Elephas maximus indicus: one gene and its partners. The protein of the gene in region 2 binds, or shares a complex with, the protein of the main gene of each other region. Links are inferred from orthologs where the notes say so. Each region holds a gene or a part of one and is shown on either strand. Other genes may lie near its edges.

What was found.
Region 1: the proteins of PEX14 (region 2) and PEX19 are in contact, whole or in part, in an NMR structure (PDB 2W85), measured with the Homo sapiens proteins. The link is inferred for Elephas maximus indicus from reciprocal best matches to the Homo sapiens genes PEX14 and PEX19. Residues at the interface, in NP_004556.1 of Homo sapiens: Leu28, Thr31, Ala32, Lys34, Phe35, Asn38, Ser39, Arg40, Val41, Ser44, Thr48, Phe52, Lys56, Leu58; in NP_002848.1 of Homo sapiens: Gln67, Phe70, Phe71, Leu74, Phe75, Ser77.
Region 3: the proteins of PEX14 (region 2) and PEX5 are in contact, whole or in part, in an NMR structure (PDB 4BXU), measured with the Homo sapiens proteins. The link is inferred for Elephas maximus indicus from reciprocal best matches to the Homo sapiens genes PEX14 and PEX5. Residues at the interface, in NP_004556.1 of Homo sapiens: Thr31, Phe35, Asn38, Arg40, Val41, Ser44, Pro45, Thr48, Arg49, Phe52, Lys55, Lys56; in NP_001124497.1 of Homo sapiens: Glu59, Leu62, Val63, Glu65, Phe66, Leu67, Gln70.

What each region holds. Positions count from the first base shown.
Region 1 is NC_064821.1:198,957,498-198,967,198, forward strand, and holds the start of PEX19 (peroxisomal biogenesis factor 19), read right to left. Parts: upstream 3,899-9,701; 5' UTR 3,861-3,898; coding exon 3,791-3,860; intron 2,402-3,790; coding exon 2,292-2,401; intron 1,868-2,291; coding exon 1,702-1,867; intron 1,268-1,701; coding exon 1,182-1,267; intron 952-1,181; coding exon 790-951; intron 1-789. Other genes in the region: COPA (coatomer subunit alpha), read right to left, coding at 8,825-8,884, 9,143-9,337. UniProt on the Homo sapiens protein: Necessary for early peroxisomal biogenesis. Acts both as a cytosolic chaperone and as an import receptor for peroxisomal membrane proteins (PMPs).
Region 2 is NC_064821.1:50,298,736-50,309,042, reverse strand, and holds the start of PEX14 (peroxisomal membrane protein PEX14), read right to left. Parts: upstream 3,948-10,307; 5' UTR 3,942-3,947; coding exon 3,906-3,941; intron 1-3,905. Other genes in the region: DFFA (DNA fragmentation factor subunit alpha), read left to right, coding at 8,025-8,160, 9,941-10,102. UniProt on the Homo sapiens protein: Component of the PEX13-PEX14 docking complex, a translocon channel that specifically mediates the import of peroxisomal cargo proteins bound to PEX5 receptor.
Region 3 is NC_064822.1:64,043,132-64,052,282, reverse strand, and holds the start of PEX5 (peroxisomal biogenesis factor 5), read right to left. Parts: upstream 4,626-9,151; 5' UTR 4,520-4,625; intron 4,498-4,519; exon of another isoform or gene 4,425-4,497; intron 3,900-4,424; 5' UTR 3,884-3,899; coding exon 3,737-3,883; intron 3,423-3,736; coding exon 3,387-3,422; intron 2,892-3,386; coding exon 2,759-2,891; intron 2,561-2,758; coding exon 2,429-2,560; intron 1-2,428.

The DNA of each region.
Region 1 (9,701 bases), about 150 Mb from region 2:
TAGGGAAGGGCAATGAGAACAATACTTAAAATATGGAGAGGAGGGTAGCACTGAAGGAAAAAGCCAAATAACTTAGTTCAGCATGAGAGGTAGCACTGACTCCAACCAGAGCCCCTGGCTATGGTCTACAAACCATAAAAGTTTGGCAAACTTTTCATGTGAAGGGCCAGACAGCAGGTTTCATGGGCCACATACAGTCTCTGTCACATATTCTTCTTTGTTTTTTTTTTACAACACATAAAAATATAAAAGCTTTTTTAGCTTGGTTTGCCAACTTCTGGTCTATATTACTCATTCTGCACTTAACTGCATGTTGCTATCTGTCACTAAAAAACATCTAGGCCTATATTTTATCTCCAATAAAACTATAAGCTCTTTAACTACAGAGCTCATCATTTAAACTCTTTTTAAATCACTTACGGCACAAAGCCAGTGCTGAGAACCTATGCAGTATATTCTCACACGAATCACTGTTGGAGAAATAAACGAAGACACAAATGCAAAAAGAGGTCGATGAGACTATGACCCAGAGTCCTGAGCCGGTCTACAGAAAATGAGAGCTGAGGGGTTTCCCCTCTTACTCCAGAGATCCTCAGCATGGAAACTCTCATCTTTCAGAGACATAACTCCCCCAACCCTACACATTCCACATAAATGAAGGAGACAAAAAAAGCAGAGGGACTTGTGCATTCAAGTTAGTCTCTCTCTAGAGGCCCTGAGCACACAAAGTAGCCCATAAGAGTTGATACGAGGCAAGGGAGGAGGAAAAGCAGAAGCGGACTGACAAACCTTTTCTGTGATCTCCTTCAGTGACGGGTACAGCACATCCTTAGACAGTAGGTTCTGCATGATACTCTGCATGATGGGGAGGAAGCTCCCTTCCCCGCCCCCTTCGGCCAGGCCTAGCCCCTCCATGGCCTTGTTCAGCTCTTCCTCCGACATGCCTGAATTCTAGAGAGGACAGGAGAGACGGTGAGCATACTGCCTTCTCAGGATGGCTTACCACCCTTTCAGTTGGGAAAGTAGAAGCCCAGGGAAGAACGATTTAAACTTGACTGTTTCAAAACAATGAGGCAGGGACAGACTTGGGATGATACCCCAGAGTTTTTGTCTTTTGAGACTCTGGTCGTGAAGGTGTCCGGGAGTGGGCCCCATGTGGTCCCCTACCTCTAGCCTCTCACCTGAAGGTCAGTGGCATTTTTGGCTAGTCCACTTAGTGTCTCCTTTAGGCAAGAAGTGAATTCCTGTTGGGAGGTCGCATCACTGCCTAGGACAGACCAAAGAGCCAGGGTCATTTGGGGTTTTAACGGTCTGCCTGGCTAGACTAACACAGTTGTCAGCTTTGGTGAGGAGCATTTACCAGTGAATTGCTTATCATTCTAAAGCTTCAAAGTCTATGCTTATCTTCATGGTCATTTTCATAAATCCGTATGGACCATGCGTCAGTTTATTCTCCATGATGATACCCAGAATAACAGTGCAACCTTCGAAACGGTCAGTTTTGAATCATCTTTCCTATTACTTTCCAACCTATCTCATCTCTTTCATTAAGTAGGGTTCCCACCTCTCCTCCCATCTCCTCTCCTTATCTTTACCCCACAACAGTGACACTGTGATTGCTATCAACCTTACTAAGAATTCCAGTGTTCTCAAGCAGCATGACTTGAACATATTTTCAGCTGTCTGGGGTCCCCTCCTCACCCACTCTTCCAGCGGCCTCTGAGAGCTTTTGGAACTGTTCCACCAGGTGGGGCTCTTCCTCAGCCAACTCCTTCATTGCCTTCTCGAACTCCGCAGTGGCTTGGGAAGCCAACTCGCTGTCGAACAGTTCCTGGAAAAACTTCTCTTGGGAGGCAAAGAGAGCATCCTGCAGGAGAGGTTGGGCAAAATGTGTCTCTTACTTGGCACCTCACTGCACCTGGCCTGTGGCAGAAGCTACAGGCAGTGGCTTTGAGAAATGCAGTGCCTCCCTCCTACGTGCCTCCATTGGAAGTTCTAACTACGTCTCCCGATGAGGACATCAAGAAAGGCATTTGGCCACTGAAGGAAGGGTATAGACTGGCATACCAATCTAACCATTTAAACCTGCTCTTTTCTCAGAGAACGTCCTTGAGATCCCTCCACTCAACCTGAAGTTTGTTTTACAAAGACTGAGACTTGCAGGAGCACTCAGCAATGTGATGCCAAGGCACCCTTTCCCACTCCCCTCCGGCCCACAGGGGCCTGACCCACCTCGGTTCAGACCTGTATAGCCCTCCCCTCCCCCTCCCTTAATTGGGTAGAATTTATACTTTTGCAGTGTCTCCTGGAGATCTCTTCTGGGGCCCGGAAGCATCGGGGGCCAAGGTGGTAGGAGGGGCTGCTGGGGAGGGTTTGGCCTTATCAAAATCATCAAGAGCACCTTCAGAGACAAGAGACATGGTGTGTGTTGGGGATGGGTGATGGAGAAAGGCTGGATGGTTTCTGAGCATTAAAAGAACAATTTTTCAAATTGCCAACTTCTCTAAATTTTTCTCTTTCTGAGTCTCCACCTCCCAGTCCATCCCTCAATAAGCCTCCCACTTTTCCCCCATTACTTAATTTAATGTAATCAAAAAGGAAGAAATCTCTTAAGGTGAAACAAGCAAACCGGTCTCAGACCTGGGAGGAAAGGGTTAAAAGGGCAGAGGGCAAAGTACATCTCCATTTACATTATGCCTTCCTTGCCACGCCCTAATGATTCCCTGTAAAGCCTATAAAAATATCCAACAGGAGCAGGGAACATAGAATTCATTCTGGAGCCCTAAACGGAATGACCTTTGGCAAGAAAGCAGAATTCAAAAGATATCCCACCCAGCTTTCCTTTGGTCCTGGTGCTAGTACAAATTGAGGGGCTCCACGTTGCACTCCATGGGAGGACATTAAACCCTCTTCTCTTAGCCTCCAATTTAGCCTTCCCTCAGCAAAGCTTCTAGGGTTCCCTCTTGCCCCACCTCCGCAATTCACAAACAGTCGCCTGGCACTCCCAGTTTCTGTTCATTTTTCCACCTTCCCACATCTCTGTGACTGGGCAAGACAAAAAATTCACCTCTGGGTCTCCACCACCACTCTGCTTGCCAGGCCTAGGGGGAGGGCACTGGCCTCACTCTGGGCAAGAAACCAACACAGGGCCAAGGAAGAAAAGAACATCCACCGTTTTTCAGGAGAGTCAACTGGCTTGCTTTATAAGCCGGCTCACCCTCAATTTCTCAGGAAAAACAGGAAAGTAGTCCGCGTGAGCTACTGACGTGATGTAAGAACCGTAAAGGAGACTAGTGAGGGAAGGGTGATAGGACTAGGAGGAGGACAGAAGTGTCTTTTGCGTTAAGGATAAGACAGGGGCACTGAAGGACGCACTACGGGTTTTTGAAGAGTTAATGTTAGCAATCCATGACTGTCGGTTTCGTTGCCCACCGCGGACAGAATGCTGGGCTGGCGGGAAGTTAAGACTTCACGAACTTCTTAATCTAAAGCAAGAAGAGTTTGAGAGGAATCGAGGAATCCTGTTCTGTGGGTTACCGTTCCCCCTCCGGCAGGGAGATCAACTGTCTGGGCCATTAGGTCTGGGCCATTGGGGGCCAAAGATGAGCTCCTCAACTCCTGCCGCGAAGGTGACCCAGAGATCTTCTTCGGGGTCGCAGTTAGACCTCCGTCCCCGTCCAACCCTTGGAGACCCGCTCCCTCTCCGCCCCGGATATTTCAGGCTCATTTAAGCCCCGGAATGGGTCCTCACACCCGCCCCCTCCGGGCCTTTCCCATTACCGGGTCTTACTTTCCAGAAGCTCGTCCAATTCGCGATCAGCCTCGGCCCCAACTCCACAGTCTCCCTCCGCGGCGGCCATCTTGCTACCTCCGGCTTGCCGTAGGGGGCTGGGCTCTTCGGCACCGCCCACTCGCCCGCCCCCGTCCGCCTTGTGCAGCCAGTAGCATTGTTGGTAGGCCGGAGCCGCCATTTTTAAAGGGACAGGAAGCTTTGCATGGTCTCATGGGCTGGGAACTGCTGAACTAGCGCGAGGGCAATATATTGTGATCTTCTGCCAGGTTTCTTATTGGCCTGGCCTCCTCTACTTCAACTTCCCACATACCTAGAGAAGTGATCTTTCATTACTTCTTCCCAAGCTGTGGGTAGGCCAGATTAGGACAAGCTCCCTACACCTAACCAGAAGCTACCCATGTATCACCAAGAAGACAATTAGAGTGCATAGAAACCCACACTATTTTTCCCCTCACTTCCTTTGATATTTTACTCAACTGCCATTTCTCTGAGACCCCCTTCTGTGGCCTCATTGAATAAAATTGCAATCCCTCCTACACATACACATGTATACTTCTGGGTATATTTTTCTCCTTAAGACTGAGCACTATACCGAACCAAATACCAAACCTGTTGTCATCGAGTTAATTCCAACTCATAGCGACCCTATAGGACAGAGCAGAACTGCCCCATAGGGTTTTCCAAAGAGCGGTTGGTGGAGCAGCTCGTGTATATGAACTGCCGACCTTTTGGTTAGCAGCCTGAGCTAACCACTGTGCCACTAGGGCATATTATATATATACTTTTTATCTTGTTTATCGTCTCTTGCCTCCCACCACACTTGAATTTAAGCACCATGAAGGCAAGGATTTTTGTCCGTTGTCTTCTCTGCTGGATTCCCAGCTCCTAAAGTATTTAACAGGCATTCATTGGCCACTCTTTGCTCTCCCAGACCCTTAATTAGGCCGCTTCTGTGCCAAATCTAACGGACATCTCTTTTTCCTATTCTTCACTAGAACTGTTGGACTAACGGACACAAGGCCACGTGTAGTAATTCAAATGTAGTAAGAACTCAATGTTAGTTGAATCAGGCAGAAAAAGCAACTCTGGCATCTGAGACTGAGCAAAATGGCAATTCAAATGTAGTAGTAACAGACCTGATCTAGCCTCTCTGGCTTTCTCTGTCCTATCTCCTTTTCTCCATATGGAACCCAACTTCCAATGTAATTTTGAGTGCGGAGGGGAAAGCTCAGATAGAGATGATTCTGGGCAACTCCTATTCAGATCTGTCAGAATGCAACTCCCTCAGAGACGAAACTATTTTATAACTCAGTATCTACCATTGTTTAAAATCCTGTGCTGGGCACAGTGAAGGATATAGAGATAAATCAAGAACAGCTCCTGCCCTAAAGTAGCTGTCTGGGGATTGGGCTGAAGGCAGTAGTAAACATATACACAGTAAGTATGACACAAGGTGTCTTAAAAGCGATAAAGTTTATAAGGTGTTATAAAGGTTAAAAGAAGGGAAAAATCACATCTATGTTAAAAAAAAAAAAATCACATGTAACTCACTTCATCTCTTTGGCCCTTAGATTCCCAAACATTTGAGTACTGTGTGTACTTACCTTTTCCCTTCTCGGATATGGCACAGACTTGTTAAAGTCATACCCCTGCAAAACCTGTTTACTTCCAAGCAAGCAAGTGGTGTCATTTAGGAGAAAACATTCTAAACTAAGAGCCAGAAGACCTAAATTCTAGTCCCAACTCTGTCACTAAATCACTCTGTCCTTTTGAAAACGCTTCATTAATCTAGGACTCAGATTACGAATATCTAACATTGGAGTTGGTACTCTAACACCCTATTCAAACACCTGTCACATAATTGATTCCAGGCTAATTTTCTCATTCAACGCGGAACTGCTTATACATGTGTCTCTAATATGGCTTTATCAGGCATGTATGCTAAAAGTATAACATTTTGTCCAACTACAAGTTAGTACTCCCATTGTGGTAAGATAAGCACCTTAATATGGTAACTACTAGATGATAATTGAGAATTAAGAGACTCTAACAGCATGATTCTTCCTTTGCAGTATCTTTTAAGCTTGTTTCTGCTTTTCTATTTTACTGTTAAGATTCCTAACACCTCAGCTCAGTATTTACTCAACTCCTGGTTGCTCCTTCTTTCTAACATACAGTGAACAGTGTTACAAAACAATATTTTACAGCATTTCCTTGACATCACTCTTATTTAAGAACTGAATGACACTCCACTGTTTATTGGCCATCTTCAAATTTTCGTCGGGCATTCACAATTATTTCACTTACGTCCACTTTGTCTCCTCAGTTACATAAGCTTCAAGAACTGGGGTCTGTCAATTTTTTTCATACCCCTCAGTTTAGGCAAATGTTTATGTTCCGTGCAAAGTTAATTTTATAGTCATGCATTGCTTAACATCCATGAGACATTCTGTGAAACAGGATGTTAAGTGATTTGGATGTGGTACAAACATGCCTAAATTGCGAGCCATAGCATTTACTGATTTCCCACCTTCGTGTTGTTTAATGACTTTTGTTTTGCTTCCAAGTTGATACTTTTCCTTTGCCTGTTGCTGCTGCTATCGCTAGCACTGGTTTTGCTGCGTTTGGGAGCCATGATACACTTCACAGTAGTATTTTAGAAAGAAAATTAAATAGAGATAACGCTACAACACTCAAGAGATGCACAATACACGAGATTGGATGCTGCTGCCTCTGAGTCGAAGCATATGCTGTTATACCATCAACTTTTTATTTAAGTAGGGAAAATTCATGTTAAAATAACAACAGAAAGTAAAGTACAGTATATATGTAAGACAGTAACATAGACATTTATTATGGCTATTAAGGCATAATGTTATTATAGATTACATATGCACCGTACCATTATACCCTGGCAGCACATACACTTTGTATATAAAAGACATGAGATATACGTTACCTGCGGGAAGCTGTTGCGATCTGGTTACCACTACTACATCTTGTTCTCTGATCCAGACTTCTGAACTCTATTATAACCTCATGGGACCACGGATGTATATGCAGTCGGACGTTGCCTGAATGGATGTTATGCAGTGCATGACTGTAATTTAATTTTTAAACTTACAAAAAGGTGTCTTTTTTGACAAACGAACTTGCCTGTTTACAAAAAGAATGTTTATAACTTGAGAAAGTGTTATCAAAGTAGTATACAAAATTTTAAGAAGGCAGGGTTAGTTTGGGTGTGCTTTATATTAAGTGACTCTTAGTATAAAGGTAAAACATATAAAGACTTGTGTTCTTTGCGGAAATCCTGGTGGCGTCGTGGTCAAGGGCTATGTTTGCTAACCTAAAGGTCAGCAGCTCGAGTCCACCAGGCGCTCCTTGGAAACTATGGGGCAGTCCTCGTTTGTCCTATGGGGTTGCTACGAGTCAGAATCGACTCAACGGCAATGGGTCAGGTGCTCTTTGAAGGAAGAATTCCACTCTTAAGAGTTTATCTCCATGTATACTTCCCCCACTTGTACAATGTGTGTTCAGGTAATTCATCGCAGCACTGTTTATAACAGCAAAAGAATGGAAATGATTCCAATATCTACCAACGTAGGACAACTTACATAAATTATGGCATATCATATAATGTAACACTAGAAGAGTACAGCTCTCTAATATGCTGATATGGAAGAATCTCTAAAATATGCTAAGTGAAAAAACAGGGTGCAGAATTGTTAAATAGGATGCTTCCATTTGTACATAGAAGAAGGATAGGAAAGAGCATGTATCTGTTTGTATATATATAAGAAATCTCTGGAAGGGTATAAGCAAGCTAGTAACAGTGGTTACCTGTTTTGGGAAAGGTGAAAGGAACTAGGTGGCTGGAGGAAGGGGTGGGAGGAACAGCTGTCACAGTATAGCTTTTTACATTTACTGATATTTGAGCTATGCAAATGTATTGTTTATTAAAAACATTAAAAATTTAAAATGGACATATTTTAATCAAAGGCACAGAACATCACTATTTACTGAATTAGTCTCATTACTGGACAAGCAAAATACAATATTGCCAAAGTAAGCACCGTAATATATACGTGTACTACTAATGACTCTTACATATGCGTGTTACATATAAAACACCTAGAGCAGTAACAGGCACAACAAATAATGGCTGTAATTAGCATACCTGAAAGACCGCAGTGAAAAATGGAATAGAAAAGCTACCTGCTGCCTACCATTCTTAGCTTAGGTCTATACCTCACATACATCCTATGAACAATTTATGCTTCTTTTTTTTAAACAGTGGTATTAGTTGTTTTGTAATTAAAAATAACTATTGCAAGAAAGATATCTCCTTTAGTGAGGCAGCTGCATGGGGTGAGGAGAACCTGAGAGGGTCCAGGAAAGAAATGGCAAGCCAAGAAGCTCTTGTAGAAATCTATTTTATTTGGTATGAGAAACAAAATATGAGAACAATGGTTGTAAAGGACAAATCAACATAAAGGGGTATACACTTCTGGAAAATCAAATGGTTTCCTCTCAGACCTTAAATTTCTAGGCACACAGAGGGTACCTACTTGGGAGGTTCAATGCCCAAGAAAATGGGAGAATGGCTAAGAGTTTGGGAGAGTTGAGTAAAAAAATCATATCTTATTACATTCCACTCCTTTCTAGCAAACAGGATACAAAGATGCTGGGAAGGGGAGGGACAAATATTGAATGAATGAATTTACTAAATGAATGCTCATCACTGAATTTTCATTTGTTTCTTGAAAGACCTAAGCTGGGAGGGCCAGGCCAACTATGACCACAACTGTAGTCACCATGAGAAGATGAGAGGGCTTCATAGGCAAAGAAGTCAGTGTTAGACATTTTGATTAGCCATAATAAAAAAGAAAAGTGCACTGGGCTTTAGCATAGGGAAAGCCAAATGTCAATAATCTGAGGGGTAGTTGGGAGTAGGGGGACATTAGAAGGATGATAGAGGGGCATTCTCTGGAAGGAAAATATGATGACTCCCCTATGCACAAAAAGGGGACCCTAGCGAAACTGCAGAGGACTGATCCTTAGACCAATCACATCTTTGCCAATCTCTGTAACCTGTGGAAGAGGAAAGAGAGGGAAAAGTTAGGGATCTGTGAGGGTGGGAAGCCTAGAATGCTGATTCCCTCCACCCCTCAATGGACACCGTAGACAGGTGTTTGCTATTTATTGGTATGGGGTAGTGGCGAAGTTCTAGTTTTCTCCATTATCACTGCCTAAAGAAGCTAGGGCCAAATCCAGGAGAAAAGACCACCATGCTTCTTTGTTTTTCTCTTCCGAAATATCCTAGAGGCATTTCTTGAGGTCAGTACTTACTGTAGTCACCCTGCAGATTTGACCCTGGAACTCAGGGGAATAGCAGGCCCCACTGAGTGGACACTTCTCTACTGGCTTTCCACGGTAGATGGGCCGATAAGATGCAGCACAAATGTCAAAGGGGTTATGCATGTCATAATTGAGCTGGTAGGCATCCGTGGGGTTCTTCTCACATGCAGACAGGATTTTTCGGGTCTAGGACAGGGGAAGAGTATTTTATTAAAGAGGGCTGAAAGCTGTACACAACAACTCAAATGATCTCATCACTGTGGTTTAGCAATCGTACTATATGGGTACAGGCCCCACCCCCGGGAGGGATAGATCTAAAGGGATAACAATCGCTATTTCTGCTATATCCAGCTTTTCCCTTCTCAGTACCAAAGTGGCTCATGGACCTAGACCCACACTCTACTGAGTCTGGGTATTATCAGGGTCAGGTCCTAGAAAGGGTTAAAACTGGCTTCCATGCCCACTGCCATTTGGAGGGCATAAGAAATGGGATATTGTTATGGATTGCATTGTGTGTCCCCCCAAAATATGTGCTGTAAATCCTAAATCC
Region 2 (10,307 bases):
AAATAACACTACACATCCAGTAGAATGGCTAAAATTATAAAGTCTGACAAAAGTCAGTATTGGTGTGGATGTAGAGCAACTGGACCTTTCATACACTTTGGCGGGAACGAAAAATAGTACAACCACTTTGTAAAAACACTTAAGCAGTTTCTTAAAAAGCTAAACATACCTTTATCATATGATCCTGCAATTACACTCATGGGTATTTACCAAGAGAAATAAAGACATGTCCTCATAAACATACATGAATATTCATAGCAGCCCCAAGCTGGAAACAATCCTGAGGCTGATAGACTAAGGTAGCCCTCAGGATCCCCACCTCCTAGCATTCAGCCCTTCCCTTGAGTGTGGGCAGGACCTGTGACTTGCTTCTGGGCCAATACAGTAGAGCAGCGGTAATAAGACATATGTAATTTTATGCATGTGATTATGTTACATAAGACCACAAAGTCTGATTTGCTAAGAAACATCTTTTCCTTACTGAATTTGAGGAAGCAAATGGCCGTGCTGGGCAGATCCAAATAGCAAGAAAATGAGGAGAGCCTCTGGATGACAGCCAGCAAGAAACTGAAGCCCTCAGTCTGACAGCCTATAAGGAACTGAATGATCCCAATAACCATGTGAGTAGATCCTTCTCCATTCAAGCCTCAGATGAGACCACAGTCCCAGGAGGCACCTTGACTGCATCCTTGTGAGACCCAGATAAACCCTGCCCTAACCAAAACAACTGTGAGATAATAAATGTGTGTTCTTTTAAGTTGCTAAGTTTGGTAATATTGCTATGTAACAATAGATAACTAACACAATCCAAATGTCCATCAACTGGTGAATGGATCAACAAACTATGGTACAACCATCCAATGGACAGTAGCTCATTATGTGGATGGACCATAGTTTGTTGGTACATGGTTCTTTACATCCGTGATTTCAGTCAACCTTCTAGGGTAATTACTATTACTCCCATTTTGTTGTGATTGTTAGTTACTGAAGAGTCAATTCAGACTGGTGGTCAACATATGAAAAATCACACTCTAAAAGCTGTTAAATAGGACTTAAGTAAAGGTTTAGATTCATTTGTGAGTGAAAATCCAGAGTCTATAGACTAATACCAGTTGCTGTTGAGTCAATTCTGACTCTTGGCAACACCATGTGTGTCAGAGTAGAACTGTGCTTCACAGGGGTTTTAACAGCTGATTTTTCAGAAGCAGAATCCCAAGCCTTTCTTCCGAGGTACCTCTGCGTGAGCCTGAACCTCCAACCTTTCAGTTAGCAGCTGTTTGCACCACCCAGGAACTATTCTTGAATAATAACAGCTAACACTTACTCTGTGTCAGGCACTGTTTAAGCACTTTTACATAAATTCACTCATTGAATCCTCACAGCAACCTTATGAGATAGGTGCTACTGTTACTCCTATTTTACAGATGGAGAAATTAAGGCAGAAAAGTTAAGTAACTTGCCCAAGATTATACATCTGGTAATAGTGGGACTAGAATTCTAAGCCAGGGAGACTGGCTTCAGAGTCTTTGCTGTATATTGCCTCTCAAGGAGAGAGAGAGCTATTCACCCTTAATCTTTTGAAACCAGAGACTGATGCCCCAAGGCCAATTAACAAATGTTCTGCGAGATGGAATACTGACTCAGCTCCACAGGTCTGACCTATGCAGCTCTTCTCACATACAAACTAGGTTTCAGGGCTGAATTATCCAAACGGTTCTTAGAAGCCCATTCGGCTTGGAGTGGAGAAATTGGAAACCAGCTTAGTCAGGGCTTGAAAACGGAAACAAGCAACTGCTAAAGAGAGCTGGTTCACTTAAAAAAAGGTATGCATATGTTTGTTTGGGGGGCACTCAACTCAGGCTTGGAAACCCTACGGGGCAGTTCTAGTCTGTCTACTTTGCCCTATAGGGTCATAATGAGTCAGAATCTGCTAGATGGCAATGTTCTTTTTTTTGTGGGGGGTGTTGAGTTTACATTAATGGTGGTGGAATAATTTGGAAAAGGGTAGTGATAATGGTGGCACAAATAGAAAAAATGTAATCAATGTCATCGAATTGTAAACATGGAAGCTGTCGCATTGGCAGTTGTTTTGGTGTATATACATTTTCACCAAAATGAAAAAAGAGGTGTGCTTTTGCAGGTTATTGTCAAACACTGATGGAATTACAATGGAGAACTCACAGAAAGTTCAAGTGTTTCCCCCAGGCTGCCAGCATATTCTGATGCAATACCATCTCTACCAGCTTTGGAAAGGAGGGCAAAGGAGAAGCAGAGCTGAAAACCAAGTAAGTGCGGGCCAAGCCCCTTTAAAGGGACTTAGATCCTTTTCCACATGAATAGAGAGGACAACTGCCAGTACCAAAGGGATCTTTTTGGACACTGCAATGGCTCCAAGTGGCAAGACTTTTAGTGACTGTCATACTACTGGCAAATTAGACACCCTAAAGGTACCCTTCAATCACAGCCTGTGGGTATTCCTAACATATAACAGTTTAAAGAAGCCCAGGCCTCAAAAAGCCTCAACATTTCAGCAAAATTAGTGCGGTAAGGCAAGAAAGGAGGGCCGCTTCTCTCAAGACACTTTCCACACTCCAGAATTTCCGACAGTGAAAAGGCCAGAGTCAGCCCTAGTTATTTCCCACGCATTACAATACAGGCATCTTCTTCCTGATCTGGGGCACACACTAAATCCTTTAAGTGCAGTTCCCGTACTAGGCTCATCATGAAGAATAGGACAGTAAGGAACACTAGCTGATGTTCTTCTGCCTAGGAAGGAAGCGACAGAGGAGTAAGCTGCTGAAAACTTAAAGATGTTTCAAGGAAGTAAAAGATAAATGATAAAGTCCCAGGTTGAAACCATTTTCTTCATCCTCTGTCTAATTCTAAGTAAATCTACACATGTATGGCTGACTTGACATACTTGGGTTTAAATCCAGACTCAGTCAGGGGCATGATTCTAGGCATGTGACGGAACTTTAGAATACATGTCCGCAAAGCGAAGGTTAACTGTCTTCATAAAGGTTGTAACTGGCATTAAACGAGGTAATAAACATAATTTGTGTTCAGCGTGACAGCACACACTTAGTAAATGTAAGGTACCTCTTATCCTTTTCCTCCTCAACTCACCTCACCCAGCCTCACCTCACCTTTGGACTATAAATCCCTTCAGAGGCCTTATCATCCACAGCTTCCTAAAAGCAGATGAACACTGCTCCTCATAGTCCCCTTACAGCACTGGGATTTGGCTGAGTCTGTAGGTGAAAGGCTAGAGTGGAACTCCTGGCCGAGAATGTCAAATCCACGGAAGTGATGATAGTTTGGCGGCGTCTGTTGTTTACAGCGCGTGTCCCTTTCCCCTCAACGCAGAGAGGGTCCAAGTACACTCCCGATCCTCCAACTTGGCGGAGGGAGCGAAAGGTGACTAAAGACGAAGAAGCTAGCAGCGAGGCAACTCCAAGAGGCTGAGGCTGCGGGGGAGTGGGAATCCTAACGGAGTCAGCCCACCCCCCCCCCACCCCCCCCACGGAGGGGACAACCTTAAACGATTGAGTCTCTCATCCTCACTGCTCAAGCAGGGGCCCTCGAAGCTCAAGGATGGGGGATTCACAAGGGTCCCGCCAGTATCCCAAAGCTCCAGTAGGGCCGGAGGTGCTGGCGGGCGGGAAGTGGGGACCCGCGGAGGCGGCCGAACCCCCGAACCCAAGCTCGGGAATGTGGTCAAAGAGGGGTCATAGGGAGAGGGGGGCGGGGAGGACCCAGGGAGGGGCGGGGTTCGGGAGGGGACAAGAGATCGGGGCCCCCAGTTTCGGAACCTCGGGGTTGCCACCTGCCTCCCGGCAGTATGCCGAGCACTCCCTCACACCGGGGTCCCCGTCGCCACAGCAGGGCAGTCCAGCTCCCCTTACCTGGCTCGGCTGCTCTGCCTGCTCTGAGGAAGCCATCTTTCTGAGGCCTGACTAATCTATCGCCGCTGGGCGAGGCTTCTCCCAAACGCCTTCGCTCTGGCTTTCCCGCCCAGACTAAAGTAGCCGGAATTGAGCCGGTCGATGGGGAACATAAAGGGGAGGGGGGAACCGGGGTGTCCAGGTCACCTCGCACAATTTCCACTAGGTCTCTGCTTTAGAGGAAGATCCGAAGTCTATCCTTTTTGTATTGCTGTGTGTATAGTATTCTTATTGAATTAAATCTCTGCCCATCCTCATAGTGCCTTGAGCACACGTAGTGACTCGCTAAGTATTAATTGAATGGGATGAAACTTGAAAGTTAAATTTTAGTACCGTTTATTGAGCGCCTAGTATTTCCCAGGAACTTTGTTATGTGCCGGAAATAAATGCAAGCCCCAGTCACTGTTCCCAAGCCCAGGCACACACAACCCCCCTGCAAAAAAAAAAAATTTTTTTTTTACAGCATTGATGTGCTAGAACTTCGGTAAAAGGGTAGGACTATTGGCGAAACACAGAAGAGGGAGCATTTGCGGGGGGGGGGGGGAGAGGCTTCTACTAACCGTCATTGCTTTATAGCTGTCGAGTTATTAGGTTTAAAACTAAATGTGACATTACGTATTTGAAAAGCGATGTGTACGTTAGAATTATTGTTCAGCTCATATTGTAGTTATGTTTTGACCAATTGTGGAGTACTCATAAGGACGGCATATGTCAGGGTTGTATCCTTTGACCATACTTACTCAATCTATAAAAAATCTATACGCCGAGCAAATAATTTGAGAAGATGGACTATATGCTCCTTGGAAACTCTTAATGGGCAGTTCTACTCTGTCCAATAGGGTCACTATGAGTCCGAATGACTCCACAGCACTGGGTTACTGGGTGGGACTATATGAAAAAGAATGCAAGAACACAGCATCAGGTTTGGAGGAAGACTCATTAACAACCTCTGATATCCAGATTACACAACCTTGCTTGCTGAAAGTGAAGAGGACTTGAAGCACTAACTGAAATGATAAAGGTCAAAGATACAGCCTTCAGTATGGATTACATCTCAATATAAAGAAAACAAAAATCCTCACAACAGGACCCATAAGCAAAGTCATGATAAATGAAGAAAAGACTGAAGTTGTCAAGGATTTCATTTTACTCGGATCCACAATCAACATCCATGGAAGTAGTAATCAAGAAATCTAACAACTTATTGCATTGGGCAAATCTGCAAAAGACCTCTTTAAAGTGTTGAAAAGCAAAGATACCACTTTGAGGACTAAGGTGCACCTCACCCAAGCCATGCATGCAAAAGCTGGACAATAAATTAGAAAGACCAAAAAAGAATTGATGCCTTTGAATTATGGTGCTGACGAAGAATACTGAACATACCATGGACTGCCAGAAGAAGGAACAAATCTGTCTTGGAAGAAGTACAGCCAGGATGCTCCTTAGAAGCAAGGATGGCAAGACTTTGTCTCATGTATTTTGGACGTGTTATCAGGAGGAACCAGTCCTTGGAGAAGGACATCATGCTTAGTAAAGTAGAGGGCCAGTGAAAGAGATGAAGAACCTCAGATAGATGGATTGACTCAGTGGCTGCAACAATGGTCTCAAGCATAGCAAGGAATGTGAGGATGGAACAGGACCAGGCAGTGTTTTGTTCTGTTGTACATAGGGTCACTATGAGTTGAAAACAACTTAGGGGCACCTAACAACAACAAGGACATAAGGGTACTCATAAAAGCAGCATCAGGATTGGAGGAAGACTCATTAACAAGCTGCGATATGCAGATGACATACCTTGATTGCCAGGAATGAAGACAACATGAAACACTGATGAAGGTCAAAGACTACAGCCTTCAGCATGGATTATGCCTGAACAAGAAGAAAACGAAAATCCTCTCATGTAGACCAATAAAGAGTTCCCTGGATGGCACAAATGATTAAGCACTTCCCTACTAACTGAAAGGTTGGCAGTTCGAATCCACTCAGAGGTGCCTTGGAAAACAGGCCTGGCAATTTGCTTCCAAAAGGTCACCGCCTTGAAAACCCTATGGGGCAATTCTACTCTGCACACATGGGGTCACCATGAGCTGGAATCGACTCAGTGACAGCTAACAACAGACCAATAAATGGCATCATAATAAATGAAGAAGAAATTGAAGTTGTCAATGATTTAATTCTACTTGGATAAACAATCAACACCCATGGAAGTAGCAGCCAAAAAATCAAACGACGTATATGCATTGCATTGGGCAAATCTGCTGCAAAAGATCTCTTTAAAGTTTTAAAAACCAGAGGTGTCACTTTGATAACTAAGGTGCTCCTGACCGAAGCCATGGTCTTTTCCTGCCCCATATGCATGTGAAAGTCGGACAGTGAAAAAGGAAGATGGAAGAATTGATGCATTCAAATTGTGTTGGTGAATATTGAATACACAGTGGACTGCTGGAAGAATGAACAAATCAGTCTCAGAAGAAATACAACCAGAAAGCTCCTTAGAAGCAAGGTTGGTGAGATTTCATCTTGCTTACTTTTGACATGTCATCAGAAGGGACCAATCACTAGTAAAGGACATTATGATTGATAAAGTGGAGGAGGATGGATGAAGGTGAGGGAGGCCCTTGGTGAGATGGATTGACACAGTGGCTGAGACAATGGCCTCAGACATACCATGAAGAGGGCACAGGACTGGGTAATGTTTTGTTCTGTTGTATACAAGGTCACCACGAGTCAAAAGTGACTTATGAAGAGGGTACAGGACTGGGTAATATTTTGTTCAGTTTTATAAAAGGTCACCATGCATCGAAGCTGACTGGGCAGCAACTAGTAACAATAACATAAGGGTTGCCTCAATTGACAGTCCCCTTATAAAACACTGTTTTAAATGCCTAAACTTTTCTTATGAGATATTTCTTCATGCAAGTTTTTATAACCAAAATGTGAAAAGGGACTGATGCATGTTGTTTACATAAAATGTCTCCCCCCCTTTTAAGTGAGGAACTTTTTTGATTTTTTTTTTAATTATTCAAATTGTAAATGCTAGTTCTCGAACGGGGAAACAAACCAGACGTTTCCATAAGTGGTAGTATTAGAACAAAGATGAACATATTGCCAAACGGCATCTGGAGAATCCCCAACAGTGCTGTGATTTGCTCTTCCCCTTTGCTCTCTGATTTCTTTGCAGCCTTAATGTTTATATCTTTTTATTCAAGCATTTTGTTCTGAGGGCCCAAACCCAATTTGCACAGCTAAAGCAGGGAATCAAATGGGTGGAAATGTGTGGGTATCTTATGTTACTTTTTTCCGTGTTTCAGCCAGACTGAAAACTACACTCATCAATTTTCAAGTCAGTCTGAGGTTTGGAACATCTTAGGGATCTTTTCAGGCTGGAAAAGGAAAATCAATTACACAGTGCAATGACCAACTGTCTTATTTATGTATGGTGGCACAGTGGTTAAGAACTTGGCTGTTAATCAAAAGGTCAACAGTTAGAATCCACCATCTGCCCCTTGGAAACCCCATGGGGCAGTTCTACTCTGTCGTAGGGTCGCTATGACTCGGAATCAACTCGATGGCAATGGGCTTTTGTTTCATATATACAAATAAGAGTACGGTAAAAACCCAAGGGATTCCAAATGCCTGTATTTCATATTGCAAAATAAATCCCTATTGGCCTCATTTGTGAACATGCAATTGCAACTCTGGGTTTTTTTTTTTTAAGCAAGGTTGAAACAAACTCCTGTTGCGCTTAATAGCGCGATTTAAGGGGAACTGAAGTCCGCTTGGGGCAGTTCTACTCTGTCCTGTAGGGTCGCTATGAGTCAGAATTGACTCAACGGCACTGGGTTTGGCTTGGGTTTGGGTTTGAAGTCCGCTTTGGATGGAGAGACTACCACTCCCGGCATGCCCCGGGGCCGCACACGTGATTAGAGGCGACTAGAACTACATCTCCCGGAGTGCCTTGGTCCCACGGGTGATTTGAGGGAAGAGAACTACATCCCCCGGCATGCTGCAGGGGTGGGGGGACCGCAGCACCGAGCTTCCCTGACTTCTCCCAGTCCTTCAGGTCCCACCTTGAAAAGGATGGAGGTGACTGAGGGTACCGGGGCTCCTGAACCCGGCGAGATCCGGGCACTGAAGCCATGTCTGCTGCGCCGCAATCACAGCCTCGAACTGCATGGCGTGGCGGTCTCCTGCCTCGAGGAGCTGAGAAGCAAGGGTTAGTACTGCGCTGGGGCAGGGGCTGGGGAGGGACCGGGCGGGAGAGGAAGTCGGGCGGGGACCGGTCGGGGTTCGAGGGGCGACCTGGGCAGACTTGAAGGGCCGGTGGAGCCTTGGGAAACGGCACCGAAATAACTCGGCGTGGGTATAGCGCTTTACAGGTTTCGAAACGTTTCATAGTCGTTTACAAGGCGCTGAAACTTTATCTCAGGTGAGACTCTTAAATGTGGAAAAAAGTAGACGGGAAGAAATATGCAAATTTAAGAGGCTCGACTTAGCTGTCTTGCCTAGAATTATACTGATTTCTGACCATATCTAGCCCAGTGTATTTCTGTCACTCTGAATCGTTAAAATGGTACTGGGGGCCTCCAGCTGAGCCACCGGGGGGCGGATTTTCACCGTCAGCTCCGGCAGGTACCTGTACCGGAAAGAGGGAGCGGCTTCTGACTGTCCTAGAAGTCCAGACAGAGGAACGGTGTTGAGTGTTGTGTGTGACTGAGATGACAGAAGTTCTGAGCCCTAGCCCCATGTTGTTACTAGCTGCTTGACCTTGCACTAGCATCTCTCGACCCTCAGTTTTCTCATTGGAAAATGGGGTGTAATAGTTCCGGTGCTGCTTGCCAGGACTGGTAGGACTCTCAACAAGAGCTGATATATTGAGATGATATATTCAAATGACTTCCAAATGTTATAAGCCATATATGGTTAAACGAGTGAGCTATCCCCAGGCATATAGTCACAGTGTGTGTCAGTACACTGCTTCCTCTTTAGAGACACTTAAGTTCCAACCAGTTATCATACAGAAGTCTTTCAAAGACTTAGGAGCAGCCAAAGCATTGCACATGTTCTGCTGATATGGCTTTTGCTGTGTATTTATTTTCTGGCATTAGGTTACTTAAGTCTGTGAGGGTTTCTTTTTTTTTTTTTTGTCACTGAAAAATGCATCCGTCTGGATGTACTTGGTACAGAAGCTTGTGTAAATGCTTGTGTTCAGTGGAGCTCGGCCTATGCAAGGCTTGCTTGCTTTTCTACTGCTATTTGGGTGGTAGACAACATTCCCTAAAGATATTTATAGTCTTTGCTACTTCTGCCTACTTTTGTCTCATCACCATCACTAAAGTGGATGGGACAGAGCTGCCCTGGGGAAAGCCTCTTGTGTAGTGATAATAAAGATGAAAAGAAACTGATACAAACTTGTTTCTCTTATGCTTTCCTATAGATTAGAAAAGCTGCAAAGAAAGATGCTACAAAGATCAAAAAGTTTGTTTGTTTTTTTTTTTTTGACATTCAACACACCAGAGAATTTAAGATGGCTACTGAATAAATGAAAAAAAGATTACTCATTTACAAGGAGCCAAACCAGACTTTGGTATAGTTTGCTGTATACCGAAAGACTTGAGTGCCTCTTGTGTGTAGTGTAGAATACCTGTAGGAAACACATTTCCAAGAGCAAGACTGGATTTAAATCCTGATTCTCTCACTTAACTAGCTTGGGCAAGTTACTTAACCTCTCCGAGCCTTGGTTTTTTCTCATCAGTAAAATGGGAATAATAATAGCACCTACCCTCTAGAATTGTTATAAGGATTAAATATTGTAGATGAAAAGCACTTAGAACAGTACCAGGCATGTGTTAAGTGCTATTTCTATGTCAGTATCAGTAGTTGTGGTTGCCAGTAGTTGAGGTTATAATTTCCTTACGGATGTGAATTTGCTCTTTGGATCTTGAGTTCTCTGAAGAGCAGAATTTTTTAGTTGCCAAATATTTTATCTCTCTCAGCTTGTGACATTCTGGCCATTGATAAGTCCTTGGCACCAGTCACCCTGGTCCTGGCAGAGGATGGCACCATAGTAGATGATGACGATTACTTCCTGTGTCTGCCTTCCAACACTAAGTTTGTGGCATTGGCCAGTAATGAGAAGTGGACATACAACAATTCAGGTAAGAAACACTGGCCATATCTAAAATGACCTGTGTGACACAACATCCATCACCATTAACTTCATTGCACAGCCAGCTGGTTGCTGTTTGTCGGGCTGTTTAAGCATGTATGCAGCAAACATTTTCTGAACTCCTTCTGTGTGCCACACATGGTGTTAAGTCCTAGAGGTAAAAGTGAGTGAGATGGAGGCCCCATTCTCGACTA
Region 3 (9,151 bases), on a different chromosome or scaffold from region 2:
ACATCCTACTTTGGTGAGTAGTGTCTCGGGTCTTAAAAGCTTCTGAGCAACAATCTAAGATACGTCTTACTGGTCCCACTCTGTCTGGAGCAAAAGAGAAGGAAGAAAACCAAAGATACAACGGAAAGATTAGTCCAAACGACTAATGGACCACAGCTACCACAGCCTCCACCAGATTTAATCCAGCACAACTAGATGGCACTGACCGCTATGACAGGGATCACAATAGAGGGACCTAGACAGAGCTGGAGAAAAATGTAGAACAAAATTCTAACTCACACAAAAAAAACAGACTTACTAATCTGACAGAGACTGAGGAAACCGCAAAAGTATGGCCCCCAATACCCTTTTAACTCAATACTGAAGTCACTCCTGAGGTTCACCCTTCAAAGATTAGACAGGCTCGTAAGACAAAACAAGACTAAATGGGCATACCAGGCCAGGGGCAAGGACAAGAAGGCAGATGGACACAGGTAAGCTGGTAATGGGGAATCCAAGGTGGTGACAGGAAGTGTTGACACGTCATGGGGCTGGCAACCAATGTCACAAAATAATGTGCATAAATTGTTTAATTAGAAACTAATTTGCTCTGTAAACCTTCATCTAAAACACAATAAAATTAAATTTAAAATTTTTTTTTAAAAAAATTACTCCAAAGCAAAAATAAATGAGAAGGTAAGGGGGCAAGGAAAGCAAAAATAATGAGAAGGTAAGGGGGCAGGGAAACTAGAGTATTAGAAATGGTACAGATGGAATGGATGAGAATGATGACACATTGTGAAAAATGTGATCAACACCACTGAATAGTCTGTGTAGAAATTCTTAAATGGAACCTTATTTGCTGTGTAAACTTTCACCTTAAACACAATATTTTTTTTTTTTCTAAATGATATAGAAGACAAACTAATTAGGTCCTATTTATCATCTCAGAAAAATTCAGGAACTATGATGGTATAAGCTCCCTTAGAGTCTAGAATCGTTGTAACTTTCTCCACTTGTGCCTCTCATTCTCTTTTATTTCTTAAATTGGAAAAGGCTAATGGTGCTTCTCTTTGAAACCAATCAGGAAGAAAAAATTAGGTAGGTTTACAGACAGAAGGATCAATCCCAAGGCATGAAGTGCGCAATGGACAATCTCAAAGAGGAAAAAGTTAGCATGAGACAAGGGCTTCAAACTGGTTCTTCCAAGTTCAGTCATGGCCAAGGAGGTGACACCAGAACAGATCTGAATTTTTAAAATTTGGGTAACCCAGAACCACAACTAGAACAGGAAAAATTATGGGTCAAAACCTTACGTGAAACTTAATCTCCCTCTTAGAAAACAAGGGCAGTGTACATGTTGCATAGCAACCAAATGTCTTGCCCATAGGATTCTGTGCAGAGTCGGAAAGAGCTGTGCCCAGCTCAAAGATGGTGGTCAACTGCACCACTTTGTGTGTCACTCTCCTCAGTGCTGGTAATAATCCAACCTCAACTATCAGCCTCCCGAAAGGGCTCACCACACCTCTTCGAAGTCTCCCATTCCAGCTTCAACCCATAATTTTTCCCATTCCAGTTATGGTTCTGGATCATCCAAATTTTAAAAATTCAAGTCTATTCTGGTTTCACTTTGTCAGTCGTGACTGAACCGGTTCAAACCAGTTCAAAGCCCTGGCTGAGACCCTGAAGTCTGTGGCCAATCAAAAAAGAAGAGAATCATTCATCCCAGAGTCAAATCCCAACTCTACCGCTTACAAAGCTGGGCAATTTCCTTCACCTCTATGGTTCAGTTTCCTTATCTATAAACTGGAAATAAAACCAGTAAGGACCTCAAGAATTCTCATAGGGATTAAATACATAATGCATTTAAACAACTTGACACAAAGCCCTGAACAAAATATTAGCTATTAAGTTTTATTATTATCATCAAGGTATGGTCTTGGCTTTAAACTCCACAGCCCCACTCTCCAAGGCCCCAACTATATTCAAGATGACTTATTGCCAGAATCACAGAAGCTATTGGCAGATATTTTTCTCTTCCTGGGCAACACAGCCATCCACCCAATCTCTCTGGATCCTTTCTACCAAACTGTAGTAATAAAGTTCCAGATAACAAAGAGGTAGACCTAATTCTTCGTGGTACATATATATGTACGTACACACACACACACACACACACACACACACACACATTGGGGTTTGAACTATACGGATTTGGAAAAATCTCTTACCCAGTTCAAACTCAGTCCTCTGCTTAATATAAATTTCGACTCCCTACTATCACCTAAGGGAAATCATGCTAAATGCCCTACATAAAAATATGTCAAGAGGCCAGAAAAATAATAAACAGCTGAAATCACCCTGTACCCTTAAATGAATTAGGGGAGCAGTATAGAACTTTCATTGCCTCCACTGAAACCATTACAGATTTTCCAATAAGGAGTCTCACCTGTAACTTCAGAGATAAATTCTTGGGACCAGTCAGTCTCATTATAATCCTGAGTTACATCCACAGCATCTCCAGCTGCAAGAAACTCCTGGGCCCAGTTCTCAGACAAGGCCAAGTCTGCCACACCAGGGGCTAAAAACAGAAAAAAGAAATACTTATTATTTCTTTTATGCCTAGTAAGTAACCCTGAATGCACATGAAAACACTATGCTCCTTTTGTTTCCTTCTATATCCAGTTCCACAATGTCATCAGCATTCAAATTTGGAACCCCCTTGGCCCCGCCTACACAGAAAATGGTGACCTCCCCTCCCACCAGACTCTGAACCCACCTCTCTGGGGAGCCTGGCGGAAGCTGGACTGTTCAATCTCCTGCATCTCCGCCAGGAGGTCATCCATCTTGAAGGTCTGAGGGGCACGGGATACAAGTGATGCATTCTGGTCATGCAGGAATTCAGCCACCAGCTGTCAGAAAAGATAGTGAAATGAACCCACGGGGTCAGGGAAGTCCCAGCAAGAGACAGGGTCCACTGGATGAGAGATACTGATGTCAGATACAATGAAAGGATAATATAGAAACTGGAGACAATTAGAGAGAGAAACTTAACTCTCCATAGATTTGGAAACAAATAATACATAAAAAAAAAAAAAAAAACAAGCAGGAGAGCTAAAGCAAATCTCATTTGTTCAGGGAAGACCAAAGATTGAAATATGGGTGAGGCAAGTTTAAAAATAAAAGCACAATGTTGTTGTTAGTTGCTGTTAAGTCAATGCCCATTAACGGCGGCCCCATGTGTGCAGAGTAGAACTGCTGCAGAAAGTTTTCAAGGCTGTGACCTTTGGAAGCAGATCAACAGGACAGTCTTCCAAGGCACCTCTGGGTGAGTTCAAACTATCAACCCACTGGCTAGCAGTCGAGTGCTTAACAGTTTACAGTGGAAATGACACTGATATATTTACCTCATCTTCAGAGGATACTCCCAAAGGCTTAGAGACCTAAGACAGAACACAAAGGAAGGCAATACGGTACAGTGGCGAAATCAGTTGAACATGAGTTAAAATTCCAGCTCTACTACTGACTAGTTACATGACTTGAACAAGTCACATAACTTCTCTGGGCCTCAGTTTCTTTATGTATAAAATTGTTTACTTCGTCTATATAATAATGCACAGTGCTTAGTATAATGTTGAGTAAACACTCATTAAAAAGATGGTAACTATTATTTGCAGCACAATAAAGAAAGCAATTAGTTATCCAAGGTGTACACCTGGACGTTCCATCCCAGCCACCACTTGGGCTTTCCACTCACCGCCTCTGGAGGTGGGGCTCCTGGAGGCCAGGGGCCAGGCTTCAAGCCCTCCTGTCGCAGGGCCTTGTCCTGGGTGAAGTGCCCAGCCAGTTTCATGAGTGGGTTGGCACCCCCGCATTCTGCCTCCACCAGCTCCCGCATTGCCATGGTGACCGCCAGCTCTCTGATGGGCAGAGGTTTGGAACTGAGGTTCTGAAGACAGACCCTTCTCCAACCCCCAACTCAGCTCGCATATTGGGGAGGCTAGCAAACATCGGCCCCTCACGGGTCAGGCCCCTGGTCACTGGCTACTCTTCACCCCTGTGCCTTTTACTGTGGCCCACACCTCTGCCTGACCTCCAAGGGGTGCCGGGACCCTCCCGCCGCCCCCTCAAAGGCCACAGCCTTCAGCCTGGGCCTCTTCGGCAGCCTCCACGTCTGTGGTCTCGACCGGCTGAACCCGGCCAGCACCCGCCCCCTACGGAGTGGCCTGGACACCAGAGGGCCACAGGGGCCGCTTCTCCAACCGCGCTGGACTGGGACACTGGGCGGACACGAGAAGGGAGTAACAACGCCTGACCGTAAGCCCTGTCCCCGACACCCCCCGGTAGTCTGCTGAACACCACGGGGGGCCACCCCCTCCCCCAGGTCACCTGGGCCCCTCCCTCTGCTCGACCCGCTCCCGGCCCACCCCTCCCGCGCTCCCCACCACTCCATCTGCTCTGGCCCTGCCCCACGAGGACACAGCAAGGGCGGGGAAGACGGGGAACTCGTCCCCGCGCCCCCTCGGGACCCTTTGCTTACCGCCGCGCACCGCGCCGCAAGAGCTGCCGGGGCACCCGGACTGGCGGGGGAGGGGAAGGTAGAGAAGGGGGAGCCAGGGGGCGGGGCTCAGGCTTAAAGGGGCCGTGACCGCCGCGCTGCGGTCGCGGCTCGGCGGAAGCTGTTTGAAGGGGCGGGGCCTTAAGGATGCGACGCCGCGTAATGGGAAGAGCGGTGAATCTTAAAGGGGAAGGGCTCCTTAAAAGAAAAATCTTGGAGCGTGTGCTCTTGGAAGCGCTTGAAAGGGTCGCTGACGCTCAGATTTATTTGATGGAAGGGTCAAGGAAGAATGGAGCTGAGGGGCTTCCCGGACTTTGGGGAAAAAGCCGAGGGCCCAGGTTGCTGGGCTCAGCTCATCCTTGCTCTTCCTGGGACTCATTGTGACCCAATGTCATCCCCTGCCCTTCCTAGGCCTCAGTTTACCCCTCTAAAACGGCCAGTCTTCCCAAGCCCCAAAGCGGGTAGAAGAAAAACCCTAATGCTGAGACTCGGGGACAGGAGGAAGTTAGTCAAGTCGGGGACCTTTTCCAGCCTCCCAGGTCTGCCTCTCTTCCAAAGTCCCCATAAAGGGATAGCGTCACAGTCTCCATGGAGACAGAGGCCTGCAGCCAATCCCTTTTCCACCTCTGCGTATTGGGGAAAATAGCACTGAATGATGACAAAGTCCAGAGACTAAAATAGGGTCCAACACATCCTGAGACTTAAAGCTGATAACATACAAGGTAGGTGTACAGTGAGTCACTTCTCCCCCACTCCCCTCCCTCACCTGTGGTTAAGGTCACTGTGGTGGCCTTATTCCCACTCCTTCCGGCTGATGCAAAAAATGCAGAACATGACTTTAAGCCTCAGGCCCCACCATCTGCCAGGGAATTGGCTCAGCTTTCAAACCTCAAGGTCACTGGGAAACAAACCCTGGTCTCTGACCTGGCTCCAAGACCAAGGGAGTCCTGGTGTCATGTAGAAGGGCAGGAGGGGCTCAGGGCTGCTGGTAGATGAGAAAGGGTATGGTAGACTCAGCCAAACAGAAGTATCATCCCAGCCCAGGGTGCACTCGAAGAGGCAGACAGACAGCAGGTGAAGCCCTAGGTGAGTCCTGTTACCTGGCTGTTGGTAAAGATTTCGATGGTGGAGGCCCCAGGGAACCAAAGAGACTTGGCTCTGTAAACTCAACCCTGGGAAGGCAGAGAAGCTGTTCTTAGACACCTCAGGGAAACAGAATGACAGGACAAACCTGAAGACTGTCGAAAATTTCTCCTTTTCTTTGCATTTTCACCCACTTTCAGAGGCCCTAATCCACTACCTCTTTTCCCCTGGAATACACAAATCCTGACCCTTGAGTGTCCACTGTTCTCAGGCTGCCGTTGTAAAGAATATACCTTAAAACATGCCGTTGAGTAGATTTTGACTCGTAGCAACCCTATAGGACAGTACAATTGCCCCATGGGGTTTTCAAGGAGCAGCTGGTAGATTACAACTGCCGACCTTTCGGTTAGCAGCTGAGCTCTTAACCAGCGCGCCACCAGGTAAATATCTAGTACTAATGAATTAAACCATACCAAGGAGGAACAGGTGCCCTCTAGAAAGTGCATACTTCCAAAAGAGAGAATCCCTGGACAGGGCACTTTTGCCCTGGGTGGTATAAATGGTTTGCACTCAGCTACAGACCTACGTATTGCTGGTTTGAACCTGCCCTGAGGAACCACAGAAGAAAGGCCTCGCTATCTGCTTCCGTAAGGATTACAGCCGAGAAAACCCTGTGGAGCATTTCTACTCTGTAACACATGGGGTCACCATGAGTCAGAATTCACTCCACAGCAATGGATTTAGTTTTAGGTTTTTGGAGAAGGCAACGTTCAACTGGAAGCATATGATATGGTAGACTTTCAGGACATTAAGGCATTAAGGGTTTCCCAGTAACACTCCAACCATACCACACACATTACTTTCTGCTCTGCTAGAAGCAATAACTCACTATGTGCCCACTCTTGGGAGAATGGTAATAATGACAACTGGTGCTTATTGAGTGCTTACTCAAATCCAGGTACTGCACTAAATGTTTTATGAGCATTAGCACTTTTGATTTTCATAACATGTTTATGAAATAGGTGTTACTAACCCCATTTTACAGATAAGACTTGTCCCCAAATCACACAACTAAGATGTCAGAATTCAATCCAGGCATAACTCCAGGTATCTATCTATCCATTACACAGCAAGGCCTCCTAGTCTTAAAGAAGCCTGGTTTGTAAGCCGTAGAATCCTTCACAGAACCTGGTCCACAAGTCCAAGAGGGTGTCTAGGGTTGGCAGAGAACTAATAGAGTTACGTGGGTATTTAATTAATATTTAGTTTATTGAAGTTCTGGATTTAAAATCCTAAATTTTGTTAATCCAGATTCAGCTATACATTCTTATTCTATTTATAAGAGTAGTAACATATAAAATAAAATAATCACTTTTACTTTCTCTTTAATTAATATTCAGTTAATTCAATTTTAACAGATTAAATTCCTTCAAACAATTTTTAAACACTTACATTGTGTTTACAATGTGCCAGGCACTATTCTAAGTACTTTTCAAGTATTAATTCATTTAATCCTCATATGAACTATATAGCAACTACTATTCCCATTTTACAGACAGGAAACTGAGGCGCAGAGAAGTGACTTGCCCAAAGTTATACCACTTATAAATAGCAAAGTTGGGACTTGAACCTAGACCAAGGTCAATAAACTTTGTTTGTAAAAGGTCAAATAGTTAATATTGTACGATTTGCAGGCCATATGGTCTCTGTCACAGCTACTCAACTCTGCCATTGTAGCATGAAAGCAGCCATAGACAATACGTAAATGAATGAGTGTGGCTGTGTTCCAATAAAACTTTATTTATAGGCACTGAAATTTGAATTTCATATAACGTCACAAAATATTTTTCTTTTGATTTTTTTTTTCCAACCAGTTAAAAATGTCAAAACTATTCTTAGATTGCAGACCATACAGAAAACAGATGGCAGGCTATAGTTTGCCAACCCCTAACACAGACGGTCTAGTTCCAGAGTCCGTACTTCTAACTACTTTGCTATACTTTGTTTTTAAAAAATCAAAGTCCCTTAAATATTTTGAACTCCTTGGGTACTTTCTATATATATATATATATATATATATATATATATATATATATATATATATATATATATATATATATATATGTATATACACATATATATATATGTATGTATATATATATATGTTAAAGCATTATATATGCCTGACAGAGCTAACAACCTTCTTTCTAACCTCTTTTTCTTTCTAACCTCTTATTCAACCCTTGTACATTTATAAAATCCTCTTAGTCCTTTTAACTTAAAATCACAAGTCTAAAATCAATTTTACCTCTCAGATTGAAGGCCTATCATCAGATTCTCTTAAACATCAGACATTTTAACTCAAAGTCATTATACACCTGAGCAAATTTACTGGCTCAGGTAGTTCAAGGCTACTGGGTTAAATTTGGAACCACAGTACAGGCACTTAGAGGTCAGAGAGTTAAGGCCAGGACACTAGACATAGGAACTGTATGGTCCCAAAATGATGCTATCTGAACCACAAGTGAACACCCTCAGTTGTGTCTCAGAGAAGAGTTCTGTCTGCTGTGTCATGAATCCCTAAAGCCGTTCCCCTCAACTGATAATGGTGTCCAACTCTTCAGTTACAACTTTACCTAGTTTTTATCATCAGATTAAGGTAGTTGAAAAGCTGTATCCCCACATCAGGTGCAACCAACTTCTTTCACAACTTCAGCTGAGCAACAAATCTCTGCTCCCTAGGTGTTGAATTTCACATTCCATGTTGTTGGAGGTGGGGGTTGGGAAATGGGGACGACCGTCTGGTTTGATTCTTTAGTTTTTTAATGACACAACGCACAGAGTAAGGGAAGTTTCCTTCCTCTGGATATTGCACGTCAAGCTACAGTCTTCACACATGTACATTTGAAAGGGTTTGTTGGTTATGATTATTCATCTGTCCTGTCAGCCTCAGTAGTTACCGTTGGCAGAGACACTTTGACAAAGGAAGAAAGCTGCATGTATGGTGAAATGCAGCAAATCCCAAAACTGGACCCATCTGTGTATACCTGGGCAAATCCCAATTGGCTTTAAAAGTGTTCAGAGTAGTGATATCTAGATATAATCAGCTATGTCCGGCATAACCCATCTACATTTGAGTACAAAATACCTAACCATTCTATAGCTACACAGCAGGGGATTTGCCTAACCAAAAGCAGGACTGTGTTACAGACACCCCTTACCCATGCTTGTAGCAGAATCTTACCACCTCTAGAAATCCAGGGAATTTTCACAATATGTCACCCTTGCCAAAATCCAGTTGGGAACCCATTGATCCCTTACTCCCACCACCCCCAAAGAATGGAAGGGAAGAAGGAAAAAAAGAAAAACAAAATAAGGTTTTTTATTTGGAGAATTTCTTCAAATGAGTGGTTTTACTCTCTTTTCAGTATTTTTCAACCAAATATCTACAGCATACACAGATAAATAATGTGTTTCAGTTTTTGCTTGTTTTGTTAGTTTGACAGGGGAAATTCACTTCCAGGAAGATGA